Linked DNA regions of Sus scrofa. The protein of the gene in region 1 interacts with the protein of each later gene in a pairwise test. Links are inferred from orthologs where the notes say so. Each region holds a gene or a part of one and is shown on either strand. Other genes may lie near its edges.

What was found. The genes of interacting proteins can lie anywhere in the genome.
Region 2: the proteins of CRK (region 1) and PTPN4 interact in binary tests that used the Homo sapiens proteins (3 or more experiments, as listed by UniProt). The link is inferred for Sus scrofa from reciprocal best matches to the Homo sapiens genes CRK and PTPN4.

What each region holds. Positions count from the first base shown.
Region 1 is NC_010454.4:47,681,427-47,687,478, forward strand, and holds the start of CRK (adapter molecule crk), read right to left. Parts: upstream 3,771-6,052; 5' UTR 3,006-3,770; coding exon 2,939-3,005; intron 1-2,938. Other genes in the region: uncharacterized protein LOC110255905, read right to left, coding at 4,286-4,482. UniProt on the Homo sapiens protein: Involved in cell branching and adhesion mediated by BCAR1-CRK-RAPGEF1 signaling and activation of RAP1.
Region 2 is NC_010457.5:31,316,746-31,322,108, reverse strand, and holds part of PTPN4 (tyrosine-protein phosphatase non-receptor type 4), read left to right. Parts: intron 1-43; coding exon 44-192; intron 193-1,549; coding exon 1,550-1,685; intron 1,686-5,363. UniProt on the Homo sapiens protein: Phosphatase that plays a role in immunity, learning, synaptic plasticity or cell homeostasis. Regulates neuronal cell homeostasis by protecting neurons against apoptosis.

The DNA of each region.
Region 1 (6,052 bases):
TATTAAAGAGCGAAACATGAAGACCAGGTTTGAGAACTACAAAGATGAGGTAAACAAATGAAACAGATGCTGAAGGCACAAAAAGGCAGCAGTGGGTAATGAGCAGTCCCCTAGGATCTCCAGAGGTGGCTTGGCCCAACACCAACAATTACCACCCTAGCTTCTGCACCCGACCCCAAAATGAGGCAAGCTTTTATGCTCCCCTCACGCCTAGGACAACAGGTGGGTAGCTCTGGGTTGAGCAGGTAACAGATGTCATCCTACTTCCATGTACTGGATTCTTCACTTACTTCTTCAGTCGTGCTGCAAGCCTCTCAAAGGAGGACAGTTTCCCATTTTGCTTCAACTCCTCCCCCTCAACCACATAAATTAATACACATAATGCTTACTGAGTACTTACTACATGCTAATTCCATTCCTAAGCATGTAATGCACTAAAATCCTCACCACTACCCTATGAGGTCAGTATTACTATTTCCTCTCTTTCATCACAGATGAGGAAACTGAGGCAGAGAGAAGTTAAAGAACTTGCCCAAAGTCATATTAAGTAGTAAGCAGCAAGCAAAGAAGGTTCAAACCGGGCTTCAGAGTACGAGCTTTTAGCTACTCTCCTAACTCATACTTAACTCAGTTTTATTGATTGTCTACTGGACAAGGTCTAGTAAAAACCTCATGTTCCACAAGAAAGAAACTAGTGGATCAATCAATGATTGCAAAACCTTCCTAAGAAGTACACCTGCAGAGTATAACCAGTAGACTTGACCAAGCCCTGCCCTTTGGCCCTGGAGCAGTAAGGGCACCTCCAGGCGATGGCAGCACTGATAGCCTGGGAGAGCTAAACAGTTAAGCTAAAAATGGGTTTACAGGAAAAGGTTGAGAATTCCTGGCCTATTCTGTTCCTATGCCTCTAAAATCTCTATCTAAGACATTCCATCCAAATTCATCTTATGCCTATATCCACAAAATACATTATATAATCCTAAACAAAAAGCTTATTTCCCACATTCAATCTGCCAAAAAAGGTTATTAAAAGCCTCAGCATCACTGACTTTAGACAGCAGATGCCATCTTCTTTCTTTCTTTTTCTTTTTTTTTTTTTTTGCTTTTTAGAGCTGCAACCGCAGCATATGGAAGTTCCCAGGCTAGGGGTTCTAATTGGAGCTATAGCTGCCGGCCTACGCCACAGCCACGTGGGATCGGAGCCACCTCTGCGACCCACACCACAGTTCATGGCAACGCCAGATGCCCAGCTCACTGAGCAAGGCCAGGGACTGAACCCAAATCCTCATAGATACCACTGCACCACAACGGGAACTCTTGAAGGCCATTTTCTTGTCATCCTTTCCTTTTGGTCTTTAAGCAGAACCTGGGACCCAAGACAATGACAAAAGTGTTCAGTCCTCAAGGGATCTCAAAAGGAAACTGGCTTTGACAAAAAAAAGAACACAGTCCAATAGTGTCTGATCTCAGGTCACAATTCCTAGGTTCCAATTCCGGCTCAGTCATTGACTAGCTGTGTGACCTGGGGCAAGTTACTGAATTTCTGACCCTGTTTCTTTACCTGCAAAATGGAATTTTGCTTTGTTTTGTTTGCTTTTTAGGGCTGCACCCCCAGCATAGGAAGTTCCCAGACTAGGGGTCAAATCAGAGCTGTAGCCACTGGCCTATGCCACAGCCACTGCAACTAGGGATCTGAGTCACAAATAAGACCTACTCCACAGCTCATGGCAAAGCCAGACCCTTAACCCACTGAGCAAGGCCAGATATCAAACTTGCATCCTCATGGATACCAGTAGGGTTTGTAATCCACTTAGCCACAACTGGAACTCCCTAAAATGTAAATATTTTAATAAATGGAAATCACAGTAATTTCCTCACTAGACTGTCATAGACAGTAAACGAGACAAGGCACTAAAGTACTCAGCAAAGTACCTGGCACAGAATGACCAGTCGATAAATGTTAGCTATTAATATTGTATATGCTTAAGTTCAAGAAATTCTTCTGTGTGGTTTCCAAAGAAAAAGAGCTCAATGGGGGCTGGGCAGAACAAAGATTAAGTAATCTTTAAAAAGACGCAACTGAATCAATTGCCCTATGTGGAAAATGGGTACATGGCGGAAAGAACAATTACAATAGCCATGAACTTTCCACACCCCATCCACAAACTCTGGCAATCTTCACCTTCTCTCTTGGGCCAAGGATCTGACCTCCTATCTGTTATGAAAAGGTGGAGCTCAGTATTAAGGTAAGATCTGAGATTAAAGTTCTAACACCAAGATGTGGGGAAAGCTCAAACAAAACTGCCTGCCATTTCCAAATTTTGTAACCAACAAAACACATACACAAACAAAAGGTCAAGAATTGAGTTCCAATGATCATTTGCTGTGTCACTGCCCAGCAACGCAAAACCCCAGACACTAGGAAGGTGGTAAAAACTCGAATACATCCGGTTTAGGGTAAATACATGTTACATACCTATTCCCATCTCAGGTTATAATGTTATAAAACCAATCAGACTGAGAAAGACCTAGGATAATTTGTGGGCTTAAAGATTCCACACTCTTTTTAAAATTGGTATGTGTTAACAAGAGAAACTATTTCATCTTCCCATTTCGGGTCAGAGGGGATAAATCTAAATTAGGATTATTCTAAAAGGGCAAGTCTGCAAAGGGCTAGTTCAGGAGACTTTCAATTCATGTGAGACTAGCCTGAATCTAGTTTCAACTGGTCAGGAGGAAACTGCTTCAGCTTGGTGAGCGTGAAAAGGCACTAAGACCCTAGGTGCTGTTACACAGGTAACAACAGCCTCAGAATTACTCTGTACCTCACAAACTTCAAGTACCAAGTGCATAAATCCTCTTCACACTCCCCAAACAGCCCATGTTATGTATAAGACAGACATATCTAGGAAAATTCAGGCAACAACCCCCAACCTACTGAGCAAGGAGAGACCCTGCAGTATAAGACTGACAATGCTGAAGTCCAAGGAAAAATGAAGTTCCATTCACTTTCAGGGAAGGGATTGTTTCCATTGGCGTATATCTGGTTTATTTCCTGAAAAAAAAAAAAATTCTTTCCTCCACTATTCGCTTTGAAAACTACAACCCCTTAATTGTCAAAGACAGTCGCTGGACACCAGGATCTCCTCGGCACAGTCAGCCGGGCATCAGCTTATTCTGGGCTGGTGACAGGGGACCTTTCTTCTATAACCAAGGCACTTAGCTCACCACCTTCGTCCTCCGCGGGGGAAGAGGACGGTAAAAGTATTTTGGAAAAATGCCCAAGAAAGGAAAAAGCTGACCGGTTTCCTGAGGGTGTCTCCATCCCTCCCGGCCGGTATGCGGTGACTTCCTACCAAAGGCCACCAGGGGAGTATAGCCAAACCCGGCTCTCCAACACTGCAGGAAATGTTTCAAGCCTAAAAAGCCACTTGTAGGATTATCGGATTCATTCCGGGCACCGCTGCCAAGTGATGCCCCCGCAGTGCCAACATCCCCCTCAGCTCTTTGTCCCCACGTTGCCTGGCCCTGCACGGGCGCTAGCCCCACCCTGGGGCCGAAACAGTTCCCCTTCCCCTGGGCTGTCCTCCCAAGTCACACCCAGAGGCCTGGGTCAGCGGCTCCTCCTCCCCCACACACTCCCGCTCGTCCGTGGGAGCGAGCCGGACAGCGGGCTGCCCTCCGGCCACGGTCACTCCAGCCCGCTGCCCAAGTCCCTCGTGGGGGTCAGCTCTCGAGGAGCAGCCGGCTAGGCTGGGGAGTTCGGCGGCCCTAACCCCCGCCCGGGGCCTCCCGTCCCTTCCGTCCCTCACCGGGCGGAGGCTGGGCGGGCGACGGTGGCACTGGCGGGCGCGGGCCGCTGCTGTTGATGATGTAGTGGGAGACGCGCGAGTTCTCGGAGACGCTGAGCACATAGTCCCCGGGGCTGGTGCTCGAGTCCCGCACCAGGAACACCCCGTGCCGCTGGCCCTGCAACAGCGCCACCGCCTCCTGCCGGCTCAGCCGCCCCCAGTACCAGCTACTCCGCTCCTCCGAGTCGAAGTTGCCCGCCATGGCCGACTCCGCGCCTACACGCTGGGCCGCCGCCGCCGCGCGCGCCCCTCCAGTCCCGGCGCCCGCCGCCCAGCGGACCGGCTCGGGTCTCCGCTTCACAGCAGCGCCTGAAATGGCGGCGGCGGCCGCGGGCCTTCCCCACCGGAAATGACGTACTCCCTGCCTCCGGGAGGATGCCGGGAAGGGGACTGCCGCCCGCCATTGGGAGAAGGGCAAGGGGCGGCTCGCGCGCTCACTGCGCATGCGGACTCTTGGGCGTCGCCGCCTGGTGGGGACAGGGACTGCAGAGAGTGGAGAGGCGGCGTCTAGGGCCGAGGGGCGGGGCCTCAACTAGCAGTCCGCAGAAGTTTGTCTGTGCGCTGTTGGCCACGCGGTTCTGGCTAGTCCAGGCTTCAATTTCCTGGAAGGCCCGGTGCTTCTGGGCAGCAACTAGGAGACAGAATTGGAGTAGAAAAGGTGATGTGGCCTCAGGGCCTGAGTTCCCTGAGACGAATATTTTCTGAATATTTTCAGATCTGTTAAGCTCTTGTTTTCACTGATTCATTCAGCAAACAGTTGACACCACGTTTGCCTTTCGGTCGCAGAGGTCATCTAGGCTGGGCCCTTCCCTCGGGGAATTCTCAGACCCCGTGGGAGGAACCAGGAAACAGGCCATGACGAAGGGATGCCAAGCCATTTGATGGGGGTAAGGACAAGGGGCTCTAGGAACATAGAGCAGGGCCCCCTAATCCATGCTTTAGAGGAACCCAAGAGTACTTCCCAGTGGCTTGAGCTGAATATTGAATGGCAGTTGGGGAAAAGCATTCAAGACAAAGGGACCAGAGTGTGCCAAGTCAAGGAGACATATGGAGTCCTCTCTGTTGAGGCTTTCAAGTCATCTGCCCAGATTCTCTAAGTCTGGCCTTGGATATCCTCTACTCTCCCTGCCGTCACGATCACTGCTATCTCTATATTCCATATCTATATCTGTATTCCTATGACAGCCTGTCTCTGGTATTCTATAGTCTTGCTGCCCCTAATTGCATAGCACACATCTGCCAAGTTGTATTTTTCTCAATTATAGCTCTGAGTGTGCTGCTACCCTGTGTAAAACTTTTAACAGTCTCCAGGTGTTAGAACTCCCAGGTTATCTCTCTTATGGTTCTACCTGTTGTATTACCCATTGTATTGTAATCTTTCGATTTACAAGTCCGTGTTCCATGCTAGATCTCCTCAAAGGCTAGGCATCAAGTGTAGGAGGCACTCCATAATTGCCTCATAAGAATAACTAACACTTATTTAGGGAATTTTACCTGCCAGGCATAGTGCTAACTGCCCTTAGGTAGGTCTCTCATTTAATCTTCTCAACCTTCTGGATTGGTATTTTACAACTATTCCCATTTTACAGATGAAGCTCAGAAGTTTGGTAACTTGTCCTGGGACACATGGCTGCTGAGTTGGGAACTGAGATTCAAATCCTGGAATGAGGCGATCCCATCGTGGCGCAGCGGAAAGGAATCTGACTAGGAACCATGAGGTTGCGGGTTCGCTCCTGGCCCCGCTCAGTGGGTTTAGGATCCTGGCATTGCCGTGAGCTGTGGTGTAGGTCGGAAGACATGGCTCGGATCTGGCGTTGCCATGGCTGTGGCGTAGACCGGCAGCTATAGCTCCGATTCAACTTCTAGCCTGGGAACCTCCACATGCCACAAATGTGGCCCTAAAAAGCAAAAAAAAAAAAAAAAAAAAAGGAAAAAAGAAAAAGAAAAAACAAATCCTAGAAAGAAAAGAGCTCTCTGGTCACACTTCTATATCCTCAGACTTCTGGGATAGCAATGGCAGGAGATGAGGGGTGGGGGAAATATGGCAGAAATAGACTTCCCCCCCTTTTCTAAATATTCATTTAGAAAGTCATTTTAAAAAAATCAGTCAGCCCTGGGTTTTATGGCCTTACATGAATAACGCACCTCTTCCGGACCCACTTCACACACCCCTGGGCCTGCTCTGGGAAGGGGTGGGGAGC
Region 2 (5,363 bases), on another chromosome or scaffold:
ATTTTTTTCTAAGTCAGGTGCATAATTTTTCATTTATACTTAGAAAAATGAGAGTCGTCAACTCACTCAGATCCAGTATATAGCCTGGCCTGACCATGGGGTCCCTGATGATTCAAGTGACTTTCTGGATTTTGTTTGTCATGTACGAAATAAGAGGGCCGGCAAGGAAGAACCTATTGTTGTTCATTGCAGGTATTTTATTTTCTGTCTTTTATGATTAACTGACTAAAATATGTCTCTTTTTTCTTTTTGACTGCCCCTGCAGCATACAGACGTTCCCGGGCCATGGATCAAACCTGAACCACAGCAGTGACAACACCAGATCCTTAACCTGCTGAGCCACACAGGAGTTCCTACATACATCGTTTTTTGTAAAAGGAATACCTCTTTTATTTTTTCTTTAAGCTGTTGTTGTCACTCTAATAATTAGAGAGAACTCAGAGTTATGCTCTGAAGGTAGGAGGCAAAGGGTATGTTTTAACATATGATTGGCAGGAATTTTATCATGAGTAAAAATAATACCACATTGACTCTTAGAAGTTTGTCTTTTTTATAGTTCAACATCTCTGAAATTGAGTTACGTCTTAAAATTAATGGTATCTCAGATTTGATGAAATACAAAATTGTAGGAATTTGGTTGCTGTCCAAAGTTTATATTTCTCCCTCCAGCAAGGTACTCCTTCCTGGCCCCTTTTAGGACATTTGGTGAGCATCTCACCTGTCTTGAAATGGCTCTGCCCAGTGCCATCACAGGGTCTGCCACTTCCAAGAGCTCCCAGTGAACAGTAGCAGACCACTCCCTTCCTTGCAGACTCAGGCCTCCTTCTGCCCCCAATGGACCAAATACAATGACTCTAGCCTTACTGCCACTGACCCAGAGATTGAGATCCAGAAATTACTTTCTCCTCATCCTGATCACCTTTATTACTAAGTGCTTTATTCAGAGGATGTATTAAGGTATCTGCTTATTCTTAAACTTTCCAACACTTTTTAAGAGCAGATTGTAGACCAAATATATGAGAGGCAAAATGCAGGAATGGTGGACACATTTGGCCATTTCATATCCTTAGTCCCCGTCGCTACTGTATCCACCTTCACAGAGAATACTTCACAGAGTTGTTCTTAACTATCTCAGTGGTAAATCAAAATTAAATTTGGCTTTAAAAACTGATTTTTTGAGTGTGTAAAATAGCTGTCTTTTGCATGCTTGTTAATGATTTATTATTGTAATTCTTACTTTGCATTTTAAAGCTTCTGTACTTTGTTCACCTTTTAAAAACTGAAATGTAACTCTTTTAAAATTGTGTTTTAAAACCAAGAGTGGGAGAGAGTGTAGATACAAACCATTTAATCTGTATTTAGTGTGAATTTTATTTTGGTTTTCAAAATAGTTTCCAGTTGGCTTGCTACTTTTGTTACTCTAAAATATTAAAACTAAATAATTCTTCTACCATAATATGATTTGGTACTCTAATTTTCTTCACAAAAAGCACAAGAAGTTTAACAGAACAGTATGAGTAAGATTTTGTCCCACATTTGTCTTTTCTAGTGCTGGTATTGGAAGAACTGGGGTTCTTATTACTATGGAAACAGCCATGTGTCTCATTGAATGCAATCAACCAGTTTATCCACTAGATATTGTAAGAACAATGAGAGATCAGCGAGCCATGATGATTCAAACACCTGTAAGTACTACATATTTCTTTTTTTTTTTTTTTTTTGTCTTTTTGCCATTTCTTGGGCCGCTCCTGCGACATATGGAGGTTCCCGGGCTAGGGGTCGAATCTGAGCTGTAGCCGCCAGCCTACGCCAGAGCCACAGCAACGCAGGATCCAAGCCGCGTCTGTGACCTACACCACAGCTCACGGCAACGCCAGAACCTTGACCCACTGAGCAAGGGCAGGGATCGAACCCGAAACTCATGGTTCCTAGTCGGATTCGTTAACCACTGCGCCACGACGGGAACTCCGGTACTACATATTTCACATGCATTTCACATGTGTTTTCAACATGACTTTTGTTGTCAATGTATATGCCAAACCACATTTTTCTCTTTTTAATTCCCTGCCAGAAGCTAATAACCCCATGGAGTTCCCGTCGTGGCGCAGTGGTTAACGAATCCGACTAGGAACCATGAGGTTGCGGGTTCGATCCCTGCCCTTGCTCAGTGGGTTAACGATCCGGCGTTGCCGTGAGCTGTGGTGTAGGTTGCAGACGCGGCTCAGATCCCGCGTTGCTGTGGCTCTGGCGTAGGCCGGTGGCTACAGCTCCAATTCAACCCCTAGCCTGGGAACCTCCATATGCCGCGGGAGCGGCCCAAGAAATAGCAACAACAACAACAACAAAAGACAAAAAAAAAAAAAAAAAAAAGAAGCTAATAACCCTTGCACAGAGATCAGCCAATACTGCCCACCAGCCGAAACTGGCCTACCACTTGTTGTGTTTTGTTTTGTTTTGTTTTTTTTGTCTTTTTGTCTTTTGTTGTTGTTGTTGTTGTTGCTGCTATTGCTATTTCTTGGGCCGCTCCCGCGGCATATGGAGGTTCCCAGGCTAGGGGTCCAATCGGAGCTGTAGCCACCGGCCTACGCCAGAGCCACAGCAACGCGGGATCCGAGCCACGTCTGCAACCTACACCACAGCTCATGGCAACGCCGGATCGTTAACCCACTGAGCAAGGGCAGGGACCGAACCCGCAACCTCATGGTTCCTAGTCGGATTCGTTAACCACTGCGCCACGACGGGAACTCCCCCACTTGTTTTTTAATAAATAAAGTTTTATTGGAAACAGCTATAGTCATTTGTTCACATAATATCTATGTTGCTTTCACATTACAGCAGCCGAGGTGAGAAGTTGCAGCAGGCACTATGTGCTTTGCAAAACCTAAAAAATTAGTTATAGTAAATAAATATTACTCTAACTATAGTAAATAACTGGATAGTAAGTAACTGTCTAGTCTTTTACATAAAATGTTTGTCAACACCATGCTAGCATGTTAATTCTTGACTGCCTAAACAGGGGTAACAGAGGAACTTGCCCTGTGTTATCAGTCAAATGGAATGCTAAGAACAGTGGTATCCCTAAACTGGAGAATCTTGATAGACCTGCTTTCAGTGAAACAGCTGTGGTGAAATTGCCTTTCTTATTTTACATAAGAACTTAAATTGCAACAATAAAAATCATAGAAATTAAGCTACTTACTATATTCTGTACTGACTTTGAAATATGTCCCAAGAATTGGAAGAGGAATCATGAAATTTAGAGTTAATGTTAAAAAAATTTTTTTTAATTTTTCAGGCCATACCCATGGCATATGAAAATACCTGGGCTAGGGGTGCAATCAGAGCTGCAGCTGCCGACCTACACCACAGCCAGAGCAACGTCTGCAACCTACACCACAGGTCACAGCAAAGCTGGATCTTAAATCCACTGAACAAGGCGAGGGATCAAACCCGTATCCTCCTGGATACCAGTCGGGTTGTTCACTGGCCGAACTACATTAGGAACTCCAAGATTGTCTTCTATATTAAGCCAATGTGGAATATTAGCATTGTTGGTGGCATTATGGTTTCTGAAGTGAATTGACATATGTGATCTAATAGGTGCCTGTCATTATTTTTAGCTTTTAATTATAGAAAATACAAACATACACAAAAATAGACAATAAGATATAGTGGACACTACTTTGAATGTTTCCTTTATACTGCCACTTAACTCTCCCCATATTTGAACCAAATCCTAGACATCGTATATATTTTATATTTATTTGTCTATATTTTAATGTTTATCTCCAAAAGAAAAGGAGTATTTTTTCCTTCTAAACAAAACCATAATACCATTATCATACCAAATTATAATTAACAATAATTCCCTAATATTAGCAATAACCAATATTCCAATTTATAATTGTTTCATATAAATCATTTCTTTTAAAATTTTAGTATAGCTTTATTAAAATATAATTCACATACCCATAAAATTCACCCTTTTAAAGTGTACAGTTCATTGGTTTTCACAGTATATCACAGAGCTTTGCAACCATCATTGCTATCTAATTTTAAAACATTTTCAACAGCCCCCAAAAGACACTCTGTATCCATATTCCCCCATACCTTCCCCAGCCTTCCCCTAACCCAGCCTAGACAACTGTTAATCTACTTTCTGTCTCTGTAGGTTTGCCTCTTTTAGACCTTTCATATGAATGGAATCCTATAATTTGTTCTTTTGTAATTGACTTATTTTAATTAGCATACTATTAAAAGGTTTATATATTCCATAGCATATATCAGTACTTCATTCCTTTTTCATTGAATAGATATACCATACATTCATCTATTGATGGACATTTGGATTATTTCCAGTTTCTAACTATTATGAATAATGGTGCCATTAACATTGTGTAATGTTTTTGTGTGAAAATGTTTTCATTCCTCTTTGGTATATACCCAGTAGTGGAATTGCTGGGTGCTATAATAACTCTCTTTAATCTTGTTTCTATAAATTTATTCTTAAGTTTTTTAGTCTTTTTTGGTCCTATTGTAAGTGGACTTGTTTTCTTAATTTCATATTAGGAGTACTCATTGCTTGGGTATAGAAATAAAACTAATTTTGCATATTGATCATGTATACTGCAACCTTGCTGAAATTATTTATTAAGTCTAATAATTTTTTGCATATGTGAAAGATTCCTTAGGATTCTTTATATACAAGATCATATCATTTGTAAATATAGTTTATTATTTCCTTTGCAGCATAGATACCTTGGTTTTCTTTTTTTTTCTTTTCACCTCATTTCATCTTGTCTCATCTCTTTTCTTCATCTTGTGCAAGTGTCCTGACAAGAACCTTCAGTACAGCGTGAAATAGAAGTGGTGATACCAGCCATCCTTGTCTTATTCCTGATCTTAGGGGGGCAGTTTTCTGTTTTTCACCACTAAGTATCATGTTAGCCATGGATTTTTTTCATTATTGCCCTTTATCAAGTTGAGAAAGTTCCCTGTCTTACTAGTTTGTGTTTTCATAAGGAAAGGGTATTCAGTTTTAACAAATACTTGTTCTGTGTCTATTGAGATGATCATGTGATTTGTGTCTTTTATTCTATTAATGTAGTGTATTAGACTGATTTTTTGGCTGTTAAACTAACCTTGCATTCCTGAGATAAGTCTTACTTGGACATGGTGTATAATTCTTTTTATGTGTTGCTTCACTTGATGTGCTATTATTTTCTTGAGGTCTTTATATCTGTATCCACACATAATAGATTTTTTTTTTTTTTTTTAAGCTACATTTGCAGTATCTGGAAGTTCTCAGGCTAGGCGTTGAATCAGAGCTGCAGCGGCTGGCCTACGCCACAGCCACAACACCA